Linked DNA regions of Arabidopsis thaliana. The protein of the gene in region 2 interacts with the protein of the main gene of each other region in a pairwise test. Each region holds a gene or a part of one and is shown on either strand. Other genes may lie near its edges.

Region 1 (7,135 bases), on a different chromosome or scaffold from region 2:
GCGAAGTATGAGGTTTATGAACCAGTTCGTCCAAAGAGAGTGCCTTTAGTACTGCAGTTTGTGACAGAACCTCTGAGAAAACTTTCCCCAGTCTCTGTGGAGTGTTGCAGTGAGATCCTGAGGCCTTTTTTGCATGTTCCTGCAAAAGTGCCAGGTGAGACAGGAAGATAATAAGTAGGAAACAACCCGATGGTGCTATCATGAAGAAAGAAAACAACCAACAAAACCTCATAGCTTGTGTCACTGCTGACAGATCTGATGTTGGACTTCGAGTTCTGGCTCGAACTACTTTGTTCTCCATTTTCAGGAGCAAGACTACGGCTTCTTGAGTGAAGTACCAATGCAGAAGAGTTGTTTCGTGAGAGAAGAGCGCGAAGGGTAGTGAGCCAGAACTCAGCTTCATCCTTGTCCTTGCATACCTATCAACGAGTAAGAACTTGTTAGAGATTGATGTAGCAATGGAGATTGCATGTGGTCTTCAGAAGACAGCTAATGCCTGTGGAATAATACATGTCAGGGAACAACAAGAAAAAGACTACAGGGAGGAAACTACTAACCAAATCGAGAGACCGTTCGCCATATATAAGAGAAAAGGATTGATATTCCTTGGTGGGTTGAGGATATCGTCGGAAAACCGCCTGGAAAAGTTCTTACAATAACATTCTTCTGTTCAGAAATCTGCAGCAAAACAGTTACCAGATAAAATGATTCATACATTTTAACTTACAGTTCGCTGTCCAGGTATGATCCTTGTCACAGAACTCAGTTTAAGACGTTTCTCCTTTTTACCACAATACCATAACAAATATATTTCATCCTGCAAAAGTTTTGAGAAAACCACTATCAAATCACAATCTTCAGCTTTGAAATAAACTGTGACTGAAGGTTATGAATTAGTACACTTGAAAGCCGAAAAGGGTAGAATTTAGGCTTCCCACGGCGGCCGTATTTCAAAAGATAAGCCCCTTTCTTCAGAATTGCTATCGCCTGAACCAAGTTTTATGCCAAAAGAATCAAACTTTAGGAATTGAAGATGATCTTTACTAAGAGAGTTTGGAACAAACCTGCTCATTCTCCCTATCTGTGGGAACACTTCTCTGGAAACAAGCCATTCCAAGTTTTGAGCACCAGATAATCCCAATGCTCGCCCCATATAATAAAACCCCTTTTGCCTTTGATATCCAAAGAGGTTCTTTACCTAAGCTTTCGAATCGAAAACCTCATCAAGACGTCTAATAACTACTTCTGCTTTCTCCTATGGAATCGCATTTGCATTCATCATTTTTCCCTTGAAATATAGAAATAACCAAATCATCTACAATGCGGATTACACAAAACAGGATTGATGATCAAAAATCATAGAGAAACGCACCTAGTTCCTTGTTCCGCACGCCACAATGCGAAAATATATTTTTGTGGAACAAATCGAATCCTATTGAAATTACGGAACAAACATATGTTGAGCTTGGAGCAATTTAGACGAACTAATATCCCTCGTTAGGTTTCTGACTTGACTCTCCCGAGAATCAGACAGATCTTTGTGTTGGATTTGAAACGTGGAGCGAGAGAATAAAGAAAAACATAACAACAAGATTCTGACCCAGCGACGACGACAACAACAACAACAGATAAGAGAAAAAAGGTCTGTGTCTTCTCCTTTTGTTGGTCTCAGATGCGTTTATCTGTTATTTACAGTTGTTTCCATTTCTTCTCCTTTTTTCAGGTGCAATGTTTTTTCAGTTTTATCCATCTTATTTTATCAAATATATCAAAATAAAATAAAAATTCTAATATCATATAGATAGATACTAGGATGATATAAAACATTCTCTTTCAATGTAAATGAATAGAACAAAACTTTGATTAATTCTTCTCTAAACCATTCAACATTTCAAGCCATCAACAAGACTACCATAGAGGTGCTATAGACTTTTAGCAATTTGTAGAAGACAAAAAACGAGAGAGAGAGAGAGAAGAATCTGAAAAACAAAAATACAACAAAAGTTTGGTGTGCAATAACAAATAGTAATACATGTTTTTGGTAAAGAAGAGCATTGATAGAGAGAAAGATTTACTTCTTCTAAGGTTTATAAAAGAGTGTTTTTTGAGTCCATGTAATCAAATCCAGTCTTCTTGGAAGAAGCTTATTTCTACTACTCATCGAAGGTGCTCAAGAACCCACCAATGAAACCAGCTCCATTGCAGTCCCCACACAACACCTCCTTTTTACCTCTGCCCACAAGAAATGTAAAAATATATATTAAGTAATGAGTTTATGTATGTGTTGTGGAGAAGGAAGAATTAGAAGAAAGAATATAAGATGTAGCAAACCTGCAAAGCCAACAGAGTGCACCAGCTTTAAACTGACCATTGAAATGATCAATCAAATTCACACCACCTCCTTTGCATTGAGAACATGCCACACAACCTTTGAAAAAACATCTTTATCAAATTACTAACCAATTCAGGAGTAGAAAACTAAGAGAATTATAAAACAGGTAAGAACTTACCTTCCCCTTCACAATTTGCACAAACTAAACTGTTTGGTTTAGTGCCCTGAGGATTATTGTTTGCGGCCTATTGATACCACAGAATGAGATTTTGCATTAACGAAATGGTCAATGAAGTAAGCAAATTTTATAGAGAAGAGAAGAGTTTGGGAAAATTCTAACCTTAACTTCAAAACTTTGGGATCTTGAAGTCTGAAGCAGTTCTCTCTTCTGTACCAAGGAAGAGGTGTTATCATTAGTTGAGAAGAAGTGAGAAGGTTTAGGGTTTTTGCTTGGAGATTGGAAGCAAAAGGTAGGAGGAGAAGAGAAGAAGCATAGTGAATTCGCCATTTTCTGTTTTCTGATTCTTCTTACCCACTCGATAGCAAAGATAAGATGGCTCCTCTCACTTCTCTTTTTCTCAAGTGCCTATTTTACCAAAATACCATCATATTCTTTATCCAATCCAAACCAAAACCTATTAACCGGTTTTGTCTTTTAAACCCAATTTCACATTTTAGTTTCCATTAGAAAGCTTTTTTCTTAAAAAGAAATTTGATTTTTTTTGTTCTGTTTCTGTGTTTTTAGAATCTTAAGACAAAAGAAAATGACAATGGTTAGAGCTAATTTACTTATTTATCTCAAACGACCCATCAAGGCCATAACTTCCTGATCCTATGAACAACCATCAAAAACAAGAAATAGCCAAGGCCAAACCCACAAGGACATCAGAACGATGTATTAAAAAATACAAAACCAGAGTCCTTCATAAGTTGCCATGTCTTATAACTTGCGTTGCTACTCCATGTGGAGCCGTTCAAGACCTCATTCACTGGCTTTCAGCCGCTCTCCAAGTAGCCGAGAAGACCACGAGTCAGCCGCGCTAGCATACCTTGGACATGGCTTACTCACATTTGAGCTATTAAACATCAAAGGCTGCTGCGCTTGAGTCATTTCTGAGATATCTTGTGTCTGGGGATCAGGTTGTATTGGAAGGACAAGAACTGTTGCAGGAGGATGAAGAGTTGTAGCAGATTGTTGAAAGCCGGGGCCTTGGAAAATGGGAAGTCCTGGGAACTGAGATACACGTTCAGGATGTTGTTGTTGATAATGATGATGATGGTACTCGGGTGCAGGAGAGGTGTTCAAGTCAGGTTTCGACTGATTCGCTCTAGCTTCAATCTCGTTTTGTAGTTTCGAAATCTCAGTCTCAAGCACTGATGTTTCTTCCTTGAGCTCATTCTTCTCTGTGGTTACCTACACACAACACCAGTTTCCATCAACAAGACCATTTAGAAAAATACAAAGATGAAGTAACTTCTTGAAGCAACATTCGTCTTAGTTGTTGATTCACGTCACAGAATACATAAACACAATCAATGTGCATATAGAAATTGACTTACATAGCTAGATTCAGATAGGAGAGAAGCATGCTCCTTTCTAAGAGACTCAATTTGACCAAACACGTCCTTCAAGAATCGAGTAGCTTCGCATAGTATAGAAGCTTTCCCACTGTTCTGTTGATTCAGTTCTGCAACAAAGAAACATGTTCACAGTTAGATATCACAATCACATTCAAAATATCACAACACACTCGAGCAATTGTTCATTCAAATCTACGGAAAGATGAGAAATTTACCAAGAGTATCGGCTAATTCAATGAAAAGCTCATTCAAATGCTCACGCTTAAGCCTCTCACGAACGGCCTTGTTGATCCTTTTCGGTACTTTACCTTTTCTACATCTGTTTTATACACCAAACATAATCAATCCCCATAAATAAAAATAAAAGGTTCCATAATCTATTTCCAAGAATTGTCTCCTTAAGAATCACCTTTCATCTGCAGTAGCATTTGCTTCATCAGACGATGTAGAAGGAGTTTTCGATACCATCTTTGCTTTTATTACAGAACAAGATTCTCTGTCAAGTCACCTAAAATTTAGACATAAGATGATTAATCAAAAAGAACAGTGATCTTAATGAATCTAACAAATCATTCATCTTTATAATCAATCAATCACTCCTAATGTCAAATAAACACAAACGCACCAAGAAACATAGGAGCAGAAAAAAAAAAAAAACTTTCGTGTGATTTTTGATTCCTCAAAAACTGAAGCAAGTGTTTTAGATTCTGTCTTTATTACCCATATTCTTGTCAAATCAAATAGTGAAGAATAATTCTCAAAAATTACGGCTAAGTTCTCAACACAACAGATTCAGAGAAAAGAACTACCTTTCTTTCTCCGGTGAGAATCTCGTCGGAAACTGTAGACGATTAGGATTCGAAACGAGTAGAAGAAATAATAAGAGAATCTGAGAAAATGAAGAGTGAAATTGTTTTTTTTGGAGGAAGAAGGTCCGAAGTTGAGGAGGGCGTGTGGAGGCGCGTGGAGAGCACAGAAGAAGGTGGTGCGTTTAAGTGGACACGTGAGTTCGACATGTGCCTTTCTCTTTTTTACTTTTGTCTTCTTCTCTTACGTTGCGTGCCACTAAAGCTCATCTCTCATGGACACGTCATCGTATCTTTAATTAATAAAATAATAATATTAATCGAGTGGAAGAGTGGTTTAAATCGGGTAAAGTTCTATTAATGGAAATGTTTGTTGAGTGTAAATAACATTGTATTTTCTACAGATTAATCGGGTAAAAAGTTGTACTATCTGTTTAAGAATTTTATCGAGTAGATGAAAAGTAACATTTTCACAAAAATATACCGTAGAACACCAAAAAAAAAAAACAGGGGCATGTGGGGTCAACGTGAAGGATAATAAAGGCATGGAAACGCGCCGTCGAGAGCTGATGACGTGTCTGTCGTGTGTTTCCCACAAACTCTATTTATTGACGGTATGATGATTAGTATACACATTTTTAATGGCATAGTCAAATTCAGTGGGTGAGGAAAAATTGAAGATAGGAAATTAAAAAGAAATAACGAAATTATATTAATCTGCCTATTCCTCTTCTCCTTCATTTTGAATTCAAAAACCGAAATACTATATATAGTTTTGCGGTTCGAATGATGACTGTATTTTGTGATACGGAAAAAGTATGGGACGGTTCAAATAATAACAAAAATACATAGATATATATGTATATATAGAGATTTTTTATACTGTTACAGTTACGGTACGGTTTTGGGGGCGGTCTATGTCACCATTCATACACTGTGATTAAGAAACATACAAAAGGCGTTTTCTTGTTTTTTTATTAAAACTACAATACAGTTACCAATCAATACTTTTAACAAATTTGCGTTTTTCGAAAAAAAAAAGAAAAAAGTTTGCAATTTTGTCCTAAAAACAATACACTGGAATGCTTTTCAAAAGAAGAAAAATCATTTACCTAGTGTTTTTGCTCAAAACCGCATTCCAACAAAAAAATCGTTCATTACTCCATTACTTAAGCAAATTGTTATGTCCTACGTCCCAACCAAAAGTTTCTCAGCCTTTGCCTCTTCCATACACACATCCCTCGTTTATTACTCCATTACTTAAGCAAATTTTAATTTTTTTTCCATTAGCTTCCCCATTTAAATATATGTACAAAAAAAGAGAGTATATGTGTGCATCAGAATCACTAGTTACCTAGTGCATAAAAGAAAAAAATATACGTAGGACATAACAATTTGCTTAACTAATGGACTTTAATATATATATATATATATATATATATATATATATATATATGCAATAATTATAGTTTTATTCTTTTTATTTAATTAAAATCTAAGAAAATGTAATTACAAGAAATAGAAATATCATAATACTTATAGAAATTTTGACAATTATTATCCACTATAAGCTTATATAAGTTCTATAATCAATTTACTAGTAAAAAATTATGATTTTTTTTTCAATTTTTTATGATGAAACTATTCAACGAATTTAATAATATGTATGTTAAACTTTAAAAATGTATATTTTGATTTATTTATGTATTAATAATTTATAAATATATGTTATTGCTTATTTATTAACACAAAAATAATAATTAATTATTAATATATATATATATATATAATTTATAATCCGCACCGCAAATAATTTTTTCATCAATCAAACATTATTCTGTACCGCTTATTTTGTACAAACCATATTTGTCCCGCAAATATATTTTTCTCGCACGTACCGTAATTGAACTGTACTGCAATGTTATACCACTTTTCTCACATATTAAAAACCGAGGTTACCATTCGGACCATAATATATTTTTTCATCAATTGTTTGCATTATAAAAAGAAAAAAAAAAAGAAGAACAAATCGGAGGGTTCAGATTTCAGAAACAAAATACCGAACCGCTAGGTCGTTGGTTTTGCCGGTTCGTTTGCACCGGGATTTTAGAGCTAGACAGGGACCAAATAATTAAGCGGATCGTGGGTATTACCGGTCCGGGTCCGGAAAAACATCTGTTAGAAACTAATCTCGTTTGGCCCAAACCCAAAAAAGCTAGCTTCACGGCGTTTGTTGTTCTTCCTCGCTCTTCGCCGCCTTCACTCGCAGTCGCAGGTAAGCTTCTTCAATTCCCCTCTTAAATCAACTAACGCTTCCTAATTCCTCCTCTGGCTTCGTTCCTCTCCTTTTTTCCAAGGTTTGTGTCAATCTGAAATCAAAATGATCAAATGATCATGAACTTAATTGTAGAAACTT
Region 2 (7,437 bases):
GTAAAATCTCATATGTGGTTTTGTTCACTTCTCTTCTCATTGCTTCTACCAAAGTATTGATGCATTCTTTTTTTGCTTCTTGGAAGTTGTATGGATGAGATCTATGATAAGTTGGCGGAACGTCTTGTCCCTACAGCAGCGGCAATGTTTAGCCCCAATCTTAAGTAAGTTTGCTACTCTTTAAATGTTGTTCTGTTCTGTTAGCTGCACCCGAGTTTTTAGATAACTCCTATGAATTGTGTGTTGACTCGTGTAGACGTTTGGTCGGTTTGGCTGGTCCTCCTGGTGCCGGGAAAAGTACAGTAGCAAATGAAGTTGTGCGTCGTGTAAATAAGCTATGGCCTCAGAAAGCTGCTTCTTTTGATGCTGAGGTTAATCCACCGGATGTTGCTATAGTACTTCCCATGGATGGTTTCCATTTGTATCGTTCGCAACTCGATGCTATGGAGGTTGAGCTCATAATATTTTGCTGAGTTATATTTCTCTTATTATGTCTCTTTCTCTTTGTTGTTTAAGAGGAATTCTGTATTTTGTTTTGTCACTCTAGGATCCCAAAGAAGCCCATGCGAGAAGAGGGGGTGAGATCTGTTATAATTGTCTTATTCAAAGATTTTTTCGAAATGTTCAAACTTGGTTTGACCCTTCTATCCACTAATCAGCTCCGTGGACTTTTGATCCTGCACTACTGCTTAACTGTTTAAAGAAGCTGAAAAACGAGGTAAAGAGGTGGTTACAAAATCTTGTTGACCTTAGGATCTTGAAGTTGGGAGACTTACAATAGACTCTGATTAGTTTTCAAGCTTTCCAGGGCTCAGTTTATGTGCCATCATTTGATCATGGAGTTGGGGATCCAGTTGAAGATGATATCTTTGTTAGCCTCCAGTAAGTAGTCAGTAGCTTCCTAAATCTGTCAAATCCGAATCTAGTGTAATATGAAATGGTTTTGTTTGCCTATTCCGGAGACAGTCAGCTAACTTATGTCCTCTTCTTAGGCATAAAGTGGTAATTGTAGAAGGAAACTACATCTTGTTAGAAGAAGGGTCTTGGAAAGACATCTCAGATATGTTTGATGAGAAATGGTAAAGACTAATCAAAAGTGTTTTTTCCTTTTCTCACTCACTCGTGGTATTTGAGTTCGGTTTTACCAATTGATGTCTTTCCATCTTCAATTCAAGGTTCATCGATGTGAATCTCGATACAGCAATGCAACGTGTTGAAAACCGGCATATCTCAACTGGTGTGTACAATTTCTCTTATTTCGATTCTTGAGAACCCGCAATGACCTCAGAGAATCTCGCTTTTGTTTAATCCGTTTTCCCTTTGTGAATTACAGGTAAACCCCCAGATGTTGCTAAATGGCGGGTAAAAGCTCTGGCTCTACTCTACTTAATATTCAGTTACATGGTTTCAATGGTTTGTTCAAGGTAGCTAGCTGCTTCTTTTTTTCAAATTTGGATGGCAGGTGGATTATAATGACCGACCCAACGCAGAGCTGATAATAAAGTCAAAGACAAACGCTGATCTACTGATCAGATCTATGAACATTTGAATCTACTTTCAAGGGGGCTATTGGACGAAACAGAATAAGATGAATAACAAAAGACAATGTTGCGCTTCAAGGGAAGATTGCCTTTGGTCTACAATGTCTTTTTCTTGCAACGGAAACTTCCAATAAGCAATTTGTTCGCAGTAAACTGTGTATGCTAGTGTTCTCTGCATACTCACGGATTTTGTTCAGACAATGTGTTTTATACTTCTAAATTAGAAGTTCTAATGCATAAAGTGTTTGAATGCGCGGGAAATTACCTAATTATAATCAGTCCAGCTCCCAACTATATCATTTTGAATAGTTAAATGGTCTATCCAAATTAGTGCAAGAAAAAAAAGAGAGGCAAAACCATAATATAATACCAACATTTGTTTTTTCTTCCTTTTTTACATAATTCAGAAACACGATCCCACACCTTCATTACTATTACTACAGCTAGCACTACCCTCAAAGCCCTTGGTCCTGAAAATCACACTAAAGTCTTTGAACAAAAAAGAGTTACTTTCATCAAAATGATAAATACTAGCCAAGCAAGCGAGAGCTTTTTCCTTCTTTTGACAGATCCCGTTTTACTTCTTTACTGCACAAATCCTACTTAGATTCCATCTCCAATGCCTTTTTACTTACCTTTCATGAGTCACAAAAGTCTAGTAGTGGGAAACAGAGCAAAATGTCAATCATCAGCTGGGGACCGTTGGATGAACAAAAATCTACGGTGGAGGATTCATCTCTGGTTTGACGATTGAAGAAGATGTGTCTGGTGGCTGAGAATGGTAAATCGCCATTGCCAATGAGATCGGCATTATGCAAAGAGCCTTTGATTGCAAAAGTTGCATCGCTGCTCCAACGTTTTCTTCCATCAGCTTAGCCACTTGCCTCTCTGTCCCATCGTTTGACCATTTCTCCCACACGGCCTGCGTCTCATCCTGAAGAAAGTTTTTACACCACAAGTCAGTGCAAGAAAAACCATTACCAAAGTTCTGTTCTTTTTTTAATGAAGTATCTCTCTCTAGTCTAACCTCAACTGATGAAGATAATGGCATTTCAGTGACTAGTGGTGCGACAGCACCGGCTCCACCAAGACGGCTCATGCTCAGGACCTGCCATAGTTGACCAGAGATAAAGCTTATGAAGGAAAAATATTATCAAAGCCCATCATTGCATAAAATATTCTTCAATGTTCTCATTAGCTTTATTACAATAGTCCTCAATTGTGATGATTCTCCATGGGAGGGAAGCAAGCAAAAAGTGAAAGACACTAATGCCAAAAAACACACAATCATGTACTCTTTGATTACTCTTTATTGCCAGATTAAACAATTATAATCTTTTATTAAGATTGGAAGTTTGGTTTAAGAGAGTAGGTGGTGGTGGGGACCAAGGATTTACACCACTAAATCCTTCTGGCTGTTTTAAATAATCTTTCTACAAACTTTTAATGATAGCATTTTCAAAAACCAGAGAATAGAAAACTGAAAATGACTTGGGTGTTTACCTTAACTTGGAGCCTGAGAAACTTTACATAATCGACAATCTCGTCGATCATAGCAGCCCTATCTGTCTGCAAAAGGAAAGCAAAAGAAACAGATGTGAATACCGCAGTTTCTATATGCCAATCACAAAACTTTTCTCTCATTGACAACTCTAGTTTTCTCCCTACTTTTAAAATCTCTTTCAAGCTCTCTTCGCGACATGAAAACAGTAGCTGAAGCTCTAGAGAAAAAGATACCAACCTTGTTAACGGTAGGTACAAGTTCCTGCAACGACCTGATCCGTTCTGCTATTCTTTCCCTTCGGAGCTGTTGCAAAGCAAATACATTCAGGTTAGGTCTTACCGTTCTTAGTAAGTAAGAACTAATCGAACTTTCTCAACCAAAAGCTATAATTAAAGCTTTGATCAAACATTATCACATAAAAATCGAAAAAAGAGACCAGAAGATAAAAAAAGTGTATCAAACATCTTACCCTCTCAGCGATGCTATGTGGATCGGTAGCTTGACCTCGCCTAGCCCTAACTCTAGGCCGAATAGTAGACTGTTGATGCGGCATTGGTGGAGCTGGCTGTGACATTGGCTGCCCATGGAAAATCTTCAACAAAACACAAAACAATGCCGTAATAACATTAAGAAAAGCTTAAAAACCGCTTCTCACAAGAACGGTCGCCACTAGAGTAGTTATAGCAACAATTCAAACTATGACGGAATTATCCACATGAGAAAAGAAACTAAAGAGCAAATTTTCTTACAATATAATTTGGACATAAAAGAACACTCTTTTATACTAAAGTTTCTTGCAAAACTAATTTTAGTGTTATGACTTTAAAACACATCAAAATCTTCAACTTGGGTTTCTTCAAAAACATCAAATCTCACCAATCTGAGCCAAAAACTCTCGGTAACTATCAAATTTAGACCTAAGCTGGGTTTTCTCAAAAACGACACCATTTTGAAACCCTAAAGATTTGAATTTCACTTTATTTTCTCGAGAACACAAAAGAAAAAGACAAAGTGAAGATTCTGAAGAGAAACTTACAGGTTTCATAGAGGAACATCGATTATCAAGAACATCGTCTTGGAAACGTTTACCAGTTTCATCAGGTTTAAGAAAGCCATGTCCTTTCCCTTGATCGAGACTTAATCCCAACGGAAACATCTGATTATGAAACCCTACAGGTCCACCTCCTCCAATGGCACCCATATGATTATGATTCCCTTCGTTGCCTGAACCAAGCTGAAGCATCATCGGAGGTGGACCCACGCCGCCGATTCCAGAGAGACCAGAACCTGAAGAACCGGAGAAGTTGGAAAGCCCGAGGATCTGCTCGAAGAAATCGTCGGTAGGAGATGGATCGGAGATGCTATCATGTGGGATGTTGTTGTTATTAGCCATGAAGGAAACGAGTAAAGGTTTGAAATTTTCGACTCAGTGGAGCTGGGTGAGTTAAAAGATAGCGAGTTAGAGAAGAGAAGTCGAAGAACAACTTTCCATGCGAAGAATCTTGTGTGGAGTTGTTAGGTGAGAGAATGATGATGCTTAAGCTAATGAGGACGAAGAGACACAGACGAGAAAGGATATGACAAAAAGACTCACTTTATGCTCTCTTTCATTTTATTTTTGTTAAAAGGACCTTACTTTGTGGTTTATTTTCGGTTTTGCCCTTGTTCTTATATACCTTCCAGAAACTTGAAGTGGGCTTTATTTGTTTTGAAGTGGGCTTTTTGTTTTGACTTTCTTCAATTTATTCATATCAAATTAAGAAAAAGGTCTTTTACCAAACTCTTTTTAGTAGAATGTTAAAAACCAATATAACTTTCTTTTTTTAAAATATATAAATGATATGGGAAAAATTCTACGCATTGTCGGGGTCGTCGTCATCTCGTTAGTGGTAGAAAATAAGATTTTTTTAAAAAAATCTGTCTTTGTCGTTTTTTCCGAAATTTAGCACTCATGGAGTAAAGTTTCTAATATCCAATATAAAAATGACACGTTTCATTTTGCCATATGGTATTACAACTTGCTTCTCCTTAGTGCTGAACCGTTGTCCGACTCGTTTTCCATTTTGAGAGACAAGGGTTTTTCTATTTTTCACAAAACAAAATTGTGGCATTTCTGAATATAATACGAGTAAAAAATATGTCAGCAGAAATGGGCTTGGATCGATTTTGATTTGTTGGATTCCATAATTCAATCTTGGGCTTCCAATCCATAAGAAAAAAGCTTGGTGTATTTTTTTTTACAAATTAGAAGAAAGTTTTTTCCTCTTTAATCAGTACTCTTCTCCTTACCCATTAATGGCAAATGCAAACTAAATTTCAGTTGACCCGTCAAACAATAAGTTAATTTTTTGCCACGTGGCCATATTTCTCACCGGACAAAGCCTCCAATAACCTCGGCGACTTTAGATGGTGAATAATCGACGAACAACAAAGAAACTACATTGACGAAACAAACAAACAAAAACATAGAAGAAGAAGAAGAAGAAACAAAACAAAACTAAACAAGAAACAGAGGAGAAAAAAGGAAACGACGAGGAAAAACAAAAACAAAATAAAAACAAGCCTCGTTCTTCCCTTTTCTCTCTTCAAATCTTTTCTTTTACATATTTTCTTTTCTTTTTTTTGTCTTTAATACAAATTTACTAACTAATCAGAATAAAAATGGGTTCGAGTAAGTTTAAACGAGCCATAGGAGCCGTAAAGGACCAAACCAGCGTCGGTCTAGCCAAAGTCAATGGTCGAAGCGCTTCTTTATCTGAACTTGACGTAGCCATCGTCAAAGCCACTCGTCACGAAGAGTTTCCAGCAGAAGAGAAATACATTAGAGAGATTCTTAGCCTAACTTCTTACTCACGCAGTTACATCAACGCTTGCGTTAGCACGCTTTCGAGACGCCTTAATAAAACCAAATGCTGGACCGTTGCCCTCAAAACCTTGATTTTGATCCAAAGGCTCTTAGGAGAAGGAGATCAAGCCTACGAGCAAGAGATCTTCTTCGCCACTCGCCGTGGAACAAGGCTTCTCAATATGTCTGATTTTAGGGATGTTTCGAGGTCTAATTCTTGGGACTACTCTGCGTTTGTCAGGACTTACGCATTGTACCTTGACGAAAGGCTTGATTTCAGGTAAGAGTTCTTGTGCTTGATCCAGGTTCCGATTCGGGATTTCAAGTTATTTATGTAATTTGAATGATATCTAAGATATGCGGTTTTTTTTTTTTTTTCATTGCAATTTTTGAGGATGCAAGCGAGACACGGGAAACGTGGAGTTTACTGCGTTGGAGGAGAAGCTGACGAAGAAGAACAGGATCAAGCTGCGGCAGATCTCTCCACGGCTATCGTGGTCAGGTCACAACCGATCGCCGAGATGAAAACAGAGCAGATTTTCATCAGAATCCAACATTTGCAGCAACTTCTTGACCGTTTCTTGGCTTGTCGCCCAACAGGTAATAACTTGCGTCTCAAGATTTCTTTCTCTGTGTGTGTTTGTTTCTTGGATAAAAATTTATATAAGGACCAATGTTATTTTGTTAACAGGTAATGCGAGGAACAACAGAGTTGTGATTGTGGCTCTGTATCCGATAGTGAAGGAGAGTTTTCAGATATATTACGATGTAACAGAGATAATGGGGATTTTGATTGAACGATTCATGGAGTTAGATATTCCTGATTCGATCAAGGTCTATGACATTTTCTGCCGGGTCTCGAAACAATTCGAAGAGCTCGATCAGTTCTACTCTTGGTGTAAGAACATGGGGATCGCACGGTCTTCTGAGTATCCAGAGATAGAGAAGATCACACAGAAGAAGCTTGATCTCATGGATGAGTTTATAAGAGACAAATCTGCTTTAGAACACACCAAGCAATCAAAATCTGTTAAATCTGAAGCCGATGAAGATGATGATGAAGCGAGAACAGAGGAAGTAAATGAAGAGCAAGAAGATATGAACGCAATAAAGGCCTTACCTGAACCTCCACCAAAAGAAGAAGATGACGTAAAACCTGAGGAAGAAGCAAAGGAAGAAGTGATCATAGAGAAGAAACAAGAAGAAATGGGTGATTTACTTGATCTTGGGAATACAAACGGCGGTGAAGCAGGACAAGCTGGAGATAGCTTAGCGTTGGCTTTATTTGACGGGCCATACGCAAGCGGTTCTGGTTCAGAGTCTGGTCCAGGATGGGAAGCGTTTAAGGATGATTCTGCGGATTGGGAAACAGCTTTGGTGCAAACAGCTACAAACTTGTCAGGACAAAAGTCAGAACTCGGAGGAGGCTTTGATATGTTGTTGCTTAACGGAATGTATCAGCACGGCGCTGTAAACGCTGCCGTGAAAACATCGACGGCTTATGGAGCCAGCGGAAGCGCGAGCAGTATGGCATTTGGTTCTGCAGG
Region 3 (8,600 bases), on a different chromosome or scaffold from region 2:
ACACTTCCTCTCCGACAAAGATTTTGGAAGCGTGTTAGAAAGAAAACTCAACCCTATTTGAATCGGAAGGACCAATTTGACTGTGGACCAAATTGTTAGCATTAGATTTGATCCCACAGTTTAAGACTTCCAATTACTATAATTTAGTCGGTAAATTTTGTAGACTATTTTTTTTGAAAAAATATTGTTCTAAGACATGCGAGTATTCTGTTAATATAATTATTACTTTTTATATAATAGAGAACTCCAATTGTTGAAACAGATTAAAACAAAGATTTGGTGTAGAAGATGATCAAATATTACATGAAAGAAAATTCTGTAGTTCATTCTTGTATATTTTTATAAGATATTTAGTTATATTATTTATTTGAATGAAGAAAGAAACAAACAAAAATGTAATATTTTGAGATGTCTAAGGAGTATTAAGATGTCCAGACTAACTTTAAATTTTTCTCCGAAGATTTATTTTGAGATTTTTTTTCGTTTTAATATTTTTGATCAGTTTATGACGATAATAAAAATAAACGAAACTTTTCTTAAATCTATAGTTGGGAAAGTGATTGATTTTCGTAAAAACCATTTTCCAACTAATATAACATATGATAGGAAAGTAGTCAGAAAAATCTTACAAAAATGTGCATGGAAATGGTGGAATTTACAGGTAGCATTACACATAATCATTTCATCATTAAATGCTAAGTTTATCCACCATATTGGCTTGGTTACAGAGTCTAAATAGAAATTGCAAGAGTTACATCCTAGTTTTGTCAAACTTTGGACTACACTATTACAGTTTCGCCTCTTGTAAAGAAAAATCGTTGAAGAGAATTTCGATGACCAGTTGTGAATGTCCTGGACTAAGTTAAAGATCTCACTTCTAGTTGTAGTCCCGGTAATAAATACGAAATATAGGATTGTATTGTATTGTATGTTTTCTGACTCGTATATTACAAGTATATGTAAGGATTTCTTGGAAATTGAAATCACTGGGAAACAGAATATTAGGGATCTCCAAACCCTAGGACATTGATTCCTTCGAGATTACTGGTCTTCTTCGTTGTAGGCAAAAAAAAATGGTATTTATTGTTAATTTGTATTTTTCTGATCATGCTTGGACAAAAAAAATGACTCGTTCAGGTTAGAATTTAAAATTAAGTGTATGCGTCATATGACACAATGCTCTCGTCATCTTGTGTCTAACAGAGTGAAATAAAGAACGAACAATTGTTTGTATACACACAAATACAATCGCACCTACATGTGCACATATTTTATTACGCTTATCTATAGAAAACTGTTTGATACATTTTTTCATTCTAAAGTAAATACACAATCCAAAAAATACTATGTCATGTTAAGAATGTTTAGTATATCTATTTATTTTAGGACAAGGAACATTTAACATATAGTAAACAGTTTTAACAAAATTTCTCTGATTTGAAATATATTTTTTATATTATCAGTAAAAAGAAAACTGTAAAGGTAATTATAGTCGTTGATTAAGATTATACTTAGTTTTTTAAAATAACATGTTTTAAAAATTTTGCAAAATAAGTTTTTTTTTTTACATGTCTCATAATTTTTGTCCTCAGTTTATGTTAAAAATATTTTGTTATTTTGATACTAACATCTTCCATACGCTGAAAACATCTTTGAGAATATTTTTCAAAACACAATATACAAAAATCCACAGTGACTTTATTCCACGATGAAATGATATCAAGACATATATGTTCTTACCTTTACCTTTCAACGAAAATGAGAGAAAAAATATATATATATAGTATCACTTTTAGAAAATGTTTTTTTTTGCTAATTAATTATTATATAAAAATGTTGAGAGCAACTTGATCATATATGTAATAAAGTCGCAGTGAAAAAAAAAATGTAATAAAGTCGCATACCGACGTTGTGACTCGTTTTTATGTAATTGATTAGTTAAGTACAGAGTTCGTTAGATGTATTTGCATTGTTACAATTACAGAAAACCCTACGCAACACAATTCAGTACTTTTTACGTCAGCAAAAATAGAATCTTTCGTTGAAAATAATACCAGAATCGTTCTTGTCTTTAATTTTCTTACCTTTTTGTAATTGGATATGATTTTTGACTATGGAATTATTATTATTTTATTCTATAAAATTATAGTTTTTATTATTGGAATCATTTATAAATGCTATTACTCAGTGTTCTTTAAAGTCCATACTAACGAATTCAAGTACTTATTTAACAAAACAAAACAAACAAATACTAATAAACTAAAAGTACAAACATTACTATGTTATTAAAAAAAGCATATAGCTGCGTGATTTTAAAGGTATATGTGACATATAATACAACGACGCCGTCGTATTTTATTGAATTTTTTTGTCACTTTTAATTAGTATACAGTGAGGAAATAAGCAAAAAGAAAGAAAAAAATATTGTTGGCTCGGCTAGTACCTATAAATAAAAACACTAGTATTTGGCCCAGGATATAATCATTGCAAGTTTAGAACTAGTTAGCTAATCTAAACCGTTAGATCAAAGAAGCAATCTTACTAATCAGAAAAACAAAATTCAACAAGTTACAAGAATGAAAAAAATAGGGATAAAAAAAAGGATAATTCATTTACATTCGATCAAAAGGCGAATGCATAGATCATAGATGCAAGACACTTGTGAGTTGTGATATAACCAAAAATTTATTTAATTATATGTAATATATATTCGAAAAATTTATACACCGTATATAAAATATTCGAATAATCCTTTTCTTTGATTTAAAAATATTTTCTGCTTGTTTTCTCAACTCATGTATTAATTTAAATAATAAAAGTAGCTACCACCTTTCTCTGCCCCACTTTAAGATAAAGCTAAAGCATGGAAAAAAGCATGGGAAAAAAGTAAATATATGATATACAATCAAATAAATCTAAAAAAATAGAAAAGAAAAATTAAAGGAACGAAAAAAAGAGGGAGGAAAAAGACAAAATTAAAAAACAAAAATAAAAATTCCAAAAAAATTAACATCACATGTTATCAAATGAGATCAAAATTTAAGTTAGTTTTGAGTTTTCTCTCTCTTTCTCTTCTCTAAAACTACTTAAGCTAAAGAATCAAACACTTCTCAACGTTTCTCCAAAGCCTCTGATTAGTAAACACATAAAGAGATCTATAGAGAGAGAGAGAGTAGAGATAAAAGGTGATGAATAGAGGTGTGTTGGAGAGTTCGCCGGTTCAGCAGCTGATGGCAGCCGGAAACCCTAATTGGTGGAACGTAAGCGGCGGCATGAGGCCACCACCACCGTTGATGGGTCATCAGCAGGCGCCGTTGCCACCACATATGACTCCTAATAACAATTATCTCCGACCACGGATGATGCCCACTCCCTTCCCGCACTTCTTGCCATCTCCGGCGACTTCTTCTTCTTCCTCTTCTTCTTCACCGTCTTTGCCTAATAACCCTAATCTCTCTTCTTGGCTTGAAAGCAATGATCTCCCTCCTGAGTCTTGGAGCCTTAGCCAACTTCTTTTGTAACTATCCCTCTATCTCTCTCCCTCTATAAATATTCCAAAATGAAATATTCTCTATACGCACATGACATGATCTTGTGTTTACTTACTAGTTCACTCTTTGTTTTCTCGTGTGTTGCTACTTAGTCCTAATTACCTTTTTGTTATACGTATATACGTATATACATGTATGTGTTTGTATTTTAAGTATCAAACAAACAATCTAATATTTTGGATATTTTCTTTGTGAACTTAGGGGTGGATTGATGATGGGAGAGGAAGAGAGATTGGAGATGATGAACCATCATAATCATCATGATGAACAACAACACCATGGTTTTCAAGGGAAGATAAGATTGGAGAATTGGGAAGAACAAGTGTTAAGCCACCAACAAGCTTCCATGGTGGCTGTTGACATCAAACAAGAGGGTAACATTAACAACAACAATGGCTATGTCATATCTTCCCCGAACTCACCTCCTAACAAATCTTGTGTTACAACAACTACCACAACAAGCCTCAATAGTAACGACGATAACATCAACAACAATAATAATATGTTGGATTTCTCTAGCAATCACAATGGTCTTCACTTGTCAGAAGGGAGACACACTCCTCCGGATCGATCCTCTGAGGTAACACTTTTTCCACATCTCAGAGATTTTGATAATATACGGAAAAAGCTCGGAAATAATATCTAGTTTTACACATAAATTAGTAAACACATCAACTACTATGAAAAAGTGAAATCTAAAACGTCATTTAAAAAGATCAGGACAACATATTTTATTTTAAGGTTTGGATCTAAATTCAACACGCAACCAGGATGAGTTTTGCTCTGAATTTTTTTTGATTAAATGACTAATTGATCTTTGTTTTGTTTGTTATCTATATATGTGATGCAGTGTAACAGCTTAGAGATTGGTGGGTCTACTAATAAGAAGCCAAGGCTCCAACCTTCTCCTTCGTCACAATCAACCCTCAAGGTAACTAATTGATTATATCAACGAAACTTTGGATAACTTATATAACGTTTTCTGTATATAAATTCCCTCCCTGACATCATACTAACAAAACAAAAACACAAACACAAAGGAGAACAGAAGAAGCAAACAAAACAGAATGGGCACAGAATAAGCTGTGTGGTTTTGTGTTTTGTAACTCTTTTGTTCTCTCCTGTTTTGTCTTCTTCTTCATTCTTCAATATTCCTTTCCTCTCTTTATTTCATAAAAATCAAACTTAAATTAATAAATTTCAACATTCTCCTTAGAATTAGACGACACTATATGTAATAAATTTTATTTTATAGAATATGGACATTTTGAGAGATTTCAAAGTTCTGTCAAAAAAAAAAAGAGATTTAAAAGTTTTGTTTTTTTCTGTAACTTGTTTTGAAACGTAGAAATGGAAGAGTCGCATTAGACATTGGATTCAATAATATCATGATAATTATATATACTAGTGAAAGTAAAATAATTGTTTATCACTTGTACATGCTAAGTAAGCACGTTTTCTCTATGCATGGTAATTAGTAAAAATAATATGACCACACATGCACATATATATAGAAAGCTTTTTAATTGATGCTATTAATTAATCTATGGTGGTAATTAAAGGTGAGAAAGGAGAAACTAGGAGGCCGAATCGCAGCGCTTCATCAGCTAGTATCTCCATTTGGAAAGGTAAAGATCGATTCCATTAACAAATCAAATTTATTAATGTCGTCTAATATTCCTCTATCAAATCAACTTTTAACATTAATTGTGGAGATTTTTTTAGTTTCATTCTTGTTAATCTAAAATCTAAATCATTCTTCATCCCTTTTTACCCATCTTTTGCAGACTGACACAGCCTCTGTCCTGTCGGAAGCTATTGGATACATTAGATTCCTTCAGAGTCAAATTGAGGTGTGACTCGTCTTTTCCAAACTCCAAATATTCTCATTCAGTAAAATAAAAATAATGCTTATGATTACTCCGTTTACCAAAAAAAAAAAGAAGAAAAAAAGGTTGTGATTACTGAGAAATAAATTACAGAATAAAGCATAATGATATTATATAAGAAAGAATAAAGATAGTAGTATAAAGTTTTGTTCTCTCCATGTTAAGTAATATTTGATTGATGTGATTATATATAAAGTATTTATGACTTTTTGCAACTGTTGCACTGTTGCAGGCTCTGAGTCATCCATACTTTGGTACGACTGCCTCGGGGAATATGAGGCACCAACAACATGTAAGTAGCAAATTTTCGTATATATACTGATATACACAAACAAATCATCATGCTATCGTTTTATACCCTTAACTTCTTCTTTTTCGATAACCTACACGAAACTTTTTATACTTATATATTATCTCTTAAGTCTTAACTATGGTTTATATGAATAGTTGCAAGGAGATAGGAGTTGCATATTTCCTGAGGACCCTGGTCAGGTACGTCCATTTTTTCTTGGTCACTATACTTTTAATATATAATTAGAGTCACTATACTTTTTATTGGATCAATTGAATCCAAATCTAAAAAATGTGGACAGCTTTAGTTTCCAAAATTTATCCTTTTTTTTCTTTTGTTTTTTTTCTTTTCTACTGTTTTCTTTAAAGTAAAGTTGGATTAATATTAAAAGATGCAGCGGCCAGCTTTTTTTTCACCCTCCCTTACATTATTATAAACCAAAAAAGTTCGTTAAAACCAACAAAGCCACTAAATTTATTTAAATATCAACTTTTTCTCCTTACTTGTTTTCTTCATCTAAGTGAAATTCAAATTCCTTTGGCGGGGTTTTATATATGCTTTTCACTAGGGGAAATTCAATGATTTTTTTTCTTATCACCTCTTTATATAGGTGTTAGAGAACATGTGTTTACTTTTTTTGTTAATCAATGCTATATATCATGATTGTTTTTTTTTTTTTTTGATATGGTTTTAGCTCGTGAACGATCAGTGCATGAAGAGAAGAGGAGCTTCGTCGTCATCTACGGACAATCAAAATGCAAGTGAAGAGCCTAAGAAAGATCTGAGAAGTCGAGGTTTATGTCTTGTCCCAATCTCATGCACACTCCAAGTAGGCAGCGACAACGGCGCGGACTATTGGGCTCCAGCACTTGGCTCCGCCGGTTTCCATTGAGCCAATGAAATTACGCCACGTGGAATTCCAGCGTTAGAGAAAAATGATATAACATCACGAGCAGTCAGTCTACTGAGAAAACAACAAATTGAGTTTCCAAGGCTGATTGCTCATGATGCTATACAAAGTTCTTCGTTTAAAACTTTGCTAGAGAATTTGCGTCTGGCGTCTGATGAATATGCGTTTGGCGTTTCATCATTTGATGCGTTATCAGATGATATGACCAAGTGATCAATTTATGTTCTTGCTTTAGGAAACTGTTTGTTTTCTTTTACCGGTTAATTGTAATTTGTGGTTAAGTACTTATTTTAATTACTTCCACGTGGTTTGTATCGTTATAATTTTGCTATTACTTATAATATGTCTATTGTGTGGGATATATACGACATGCAGACCATTAAAATAAAAAAGTGTGCCGGAAAATATCGATATAAGTTACTTCGTTTGCCTTTTTCATGCGTAGTTCTTAATTCACGTAAATGATCATCCACAATGAAAAAAGAAAAAGAACGAAAAAGTTCAGAAATTATGAATCTTATTAATTATTATTGATAATTATTTTACTTCACTCCACCATATGTGTGAACTAGTGGAGCCTTGGAGGATCACTAACAAAGAAGAAAATAAGAAACAAGATATATCATCACTTTTTGAGAACTTGCTCTTCATTTAAACGGTTCATTTCTTCTCTTTGAAGTTACGATCATCAAAGAACTTCTTAGGGTTGCTCTCAAAAGCCTCCCTCTAAACGCTTTGTCGTCCACCAGATCCAGGAGCAACCATTGTTTTACCGATGTCGGAAGTGCTACCAGAACCACCGCTTCCGCCACTCGTACCAAAATTCTTGGCTCCATCAGCTTTGGTGTTCTTGGCGTCCATGGCTTGATTTTGGGATTGGAAACGATTATAAATTGAAGGTTTGGTTATTTTGTGAATCATGAATTCGACTGTTGAGACTTAGAAAATGGATCGTATATAGACACCAAGTTGATCTGATAGAATGATAGTAATTTGTGAGTTGTAACAACACGAAATAATGGTCAAATTGGCATGGAATGTAATTACTAATTACTGATGTTATTTCCATGTCAATTTGTAACAATTTTCTCGTAAACTAAAAACGCTCAATACAACAGACACGGCCCATCTCTTAAGCCCAACCAAATAATCTTTGTCCAGTTATCGCTTGGCTCCCTTATTCGATGCGTTTGCCTTACGAGTTTTGACATAACACGCACTTTTTTAATACGCATGTGGTTCGAGTAACGCCGGTTCAGTTTTGTCAATTAAAATCTATAAGACTATAAATACATCGTTTTGGTAGAGTACTATTCGGATCAATAATTATGCATTGTTTTCTTATGTGTAAAAGAATGCATGCTCCATACCAATAAACAAACATATGATTAATATACTTTATCTTTTGCAGTGGATGATGTGGATCATATTATTGAGGAACATAATATAGTGGATTAAGGAATTTATCCATAACACCCGATCCAACAACAAATTATTATATTGATCAAATAAATCATATTATTATGTCGAAAATGACAAAATAAAATAAAAATCCATTACTTCACAGAAAACTACAGAATCTTTCCACCCATAAAAAGCAGACCATCAAAAGAGGAAAAAAAGTAGAAAATCCAACGTTTATTCATACTATAATGTTGAATGATGGAAAAACAAATACAGTGCAATATTTTCAGTTATATATATATACACGCAAATAGCTTATGGAATTCCCATATTAATTCCTTAGTAGACGGAGACGTACAGGTGGCTATAATTGGCTTAGATGCCTTCACGTCTAAGCTCTTAAGGTTTATGGCCCATTTCAAAAGCTCCTTTAAGAAAATCCCAAAAAAAACGAAACATAAATTAAAACTAATTAATAACAACATATAAACTTTAAAGTACATTTAAAACAATGAAATTAAGAAAAATAAAGTACTAGTTCTCATTTTATAAAA

The links.
Region 1: the proteins of AT1G03040 (region 2) and PYE interact in binary tests that used the Arabidopsis thaliana proteins (3 or more experiments, as listed by UniProt).
Region 3: the proteins of AT1G03040 (region 2) and AT4G29100 interact in binary tests that used the Arabidopsis thaliana proteins (3 or more experiments, as listed by UniProt).

What each region holds. Positions count from the first base shown.
Region 1 is NC_003074.8:17,565,281-17,572,415, reverse strand, and holds PYE (basic helix-loop-helix (bHLH) DNA-binding superfamily protein), read right to left. Parts: upstream 5,291-7,135; 5' UTR 5,214-5,290; exon of another isoform or gene 5,212-5,213; intron 4,941-5,211; exon of another isoform or gene 4,723-4,940; intron 4,571-4,722; 5' UTR 4,539-4,570; intron 4,422-4,538; 5' UTR 4,382-4,421; coding exon 4,323-4,381; intron 4,233-4,322; coding exon 4,129-4,232; intron 4,021-4,128; coding exon 3,893-4,020; intron 3,747-3,892; coding exon 3,315-3,746; 3' UTR 3,031-3,314; downstream 1-3,030. Other genes in the region: AT3G47660 (Regulator of chromosome condensation (RCC1) family protein), read right to left, coding at 1-419, 558-649, 728-817, 901-987, 1,065-1,095, 1,199-1,224; AT3G47650 (DnaJ/Hsp40 cysteine-rich domain superfamily protein), read right to left, coding at 2,154-2,232, 2,332-2,428, 2,511-2,577, 2,673-2,840.
Region 2 is NC_003070.9:702,020-709,456, forward strand, and holds AT1G03040 (basic helix-loop-helix (bHLH) DNA-binding superfamily protein), read right to left. Parts: upstream 4,646-7,437; 5' UTR 4,439-4,645; coding exon 4,082-4,438; intron 3,638-4,081; coding exon 3,515-3,637; intron 3,349-3,514; coding exon 3,283-3,348; intron 3,111-3,282; coding exon 3,045-3,110; intron 2,650-3,044; coding exon 2,260-2,649; 3' UTR 1,830-2,259; downstream 1-1,829. Other genes in the region: AT1G03030 (P-loop containing nucleoside triphosphate hydrolases superfamily protein), read left to right, coding at 87-164, 257-449, 548-578, 660-718, 809-882, 993-1,079, 1,176-1,237, 1,334-1,362 and 1 more; AT1G03050 (ENTH/ANTH/VHS superfamily protein), read left to right, coding at 5,707-6,170, 6,285-6,490, 6,582-7,437.
Region 3 is NC_003075.7:14,337,952-14,346,551, forward strand, and holds AT4G29100 (basic helix-loop-helix (bHLH) DNA-binding superfamily protein), read left to right. Parts: upstream 1-3,013; 5' UTR 3,014-3,188; coding exon 3,189-3,517; intron 3,518-3,752; coding exon 3,753-4,131; intron 4,132-4,401; coding exon 4,402-4,482; intron 4,483-5,113; coding exon 5,114-5,179; intron 5,180-5,338; coding exon 5,339-5,404; intron 5,405-5,672; coding exon 5,673-5,732; intron 5,733-5,887; coding exon 5,888-5,932; coding exon of another isoform or gene 5,933-5,974; exon of another isoform or gene 5,975-6,426; coding exon 6,427-6,624; 3' UTR 6,625-7,062; downstream 7,063-8,600. Other genes in the region: AT4G29103 (uncharacterized protein), read right to left, coding at 8,337-8,549.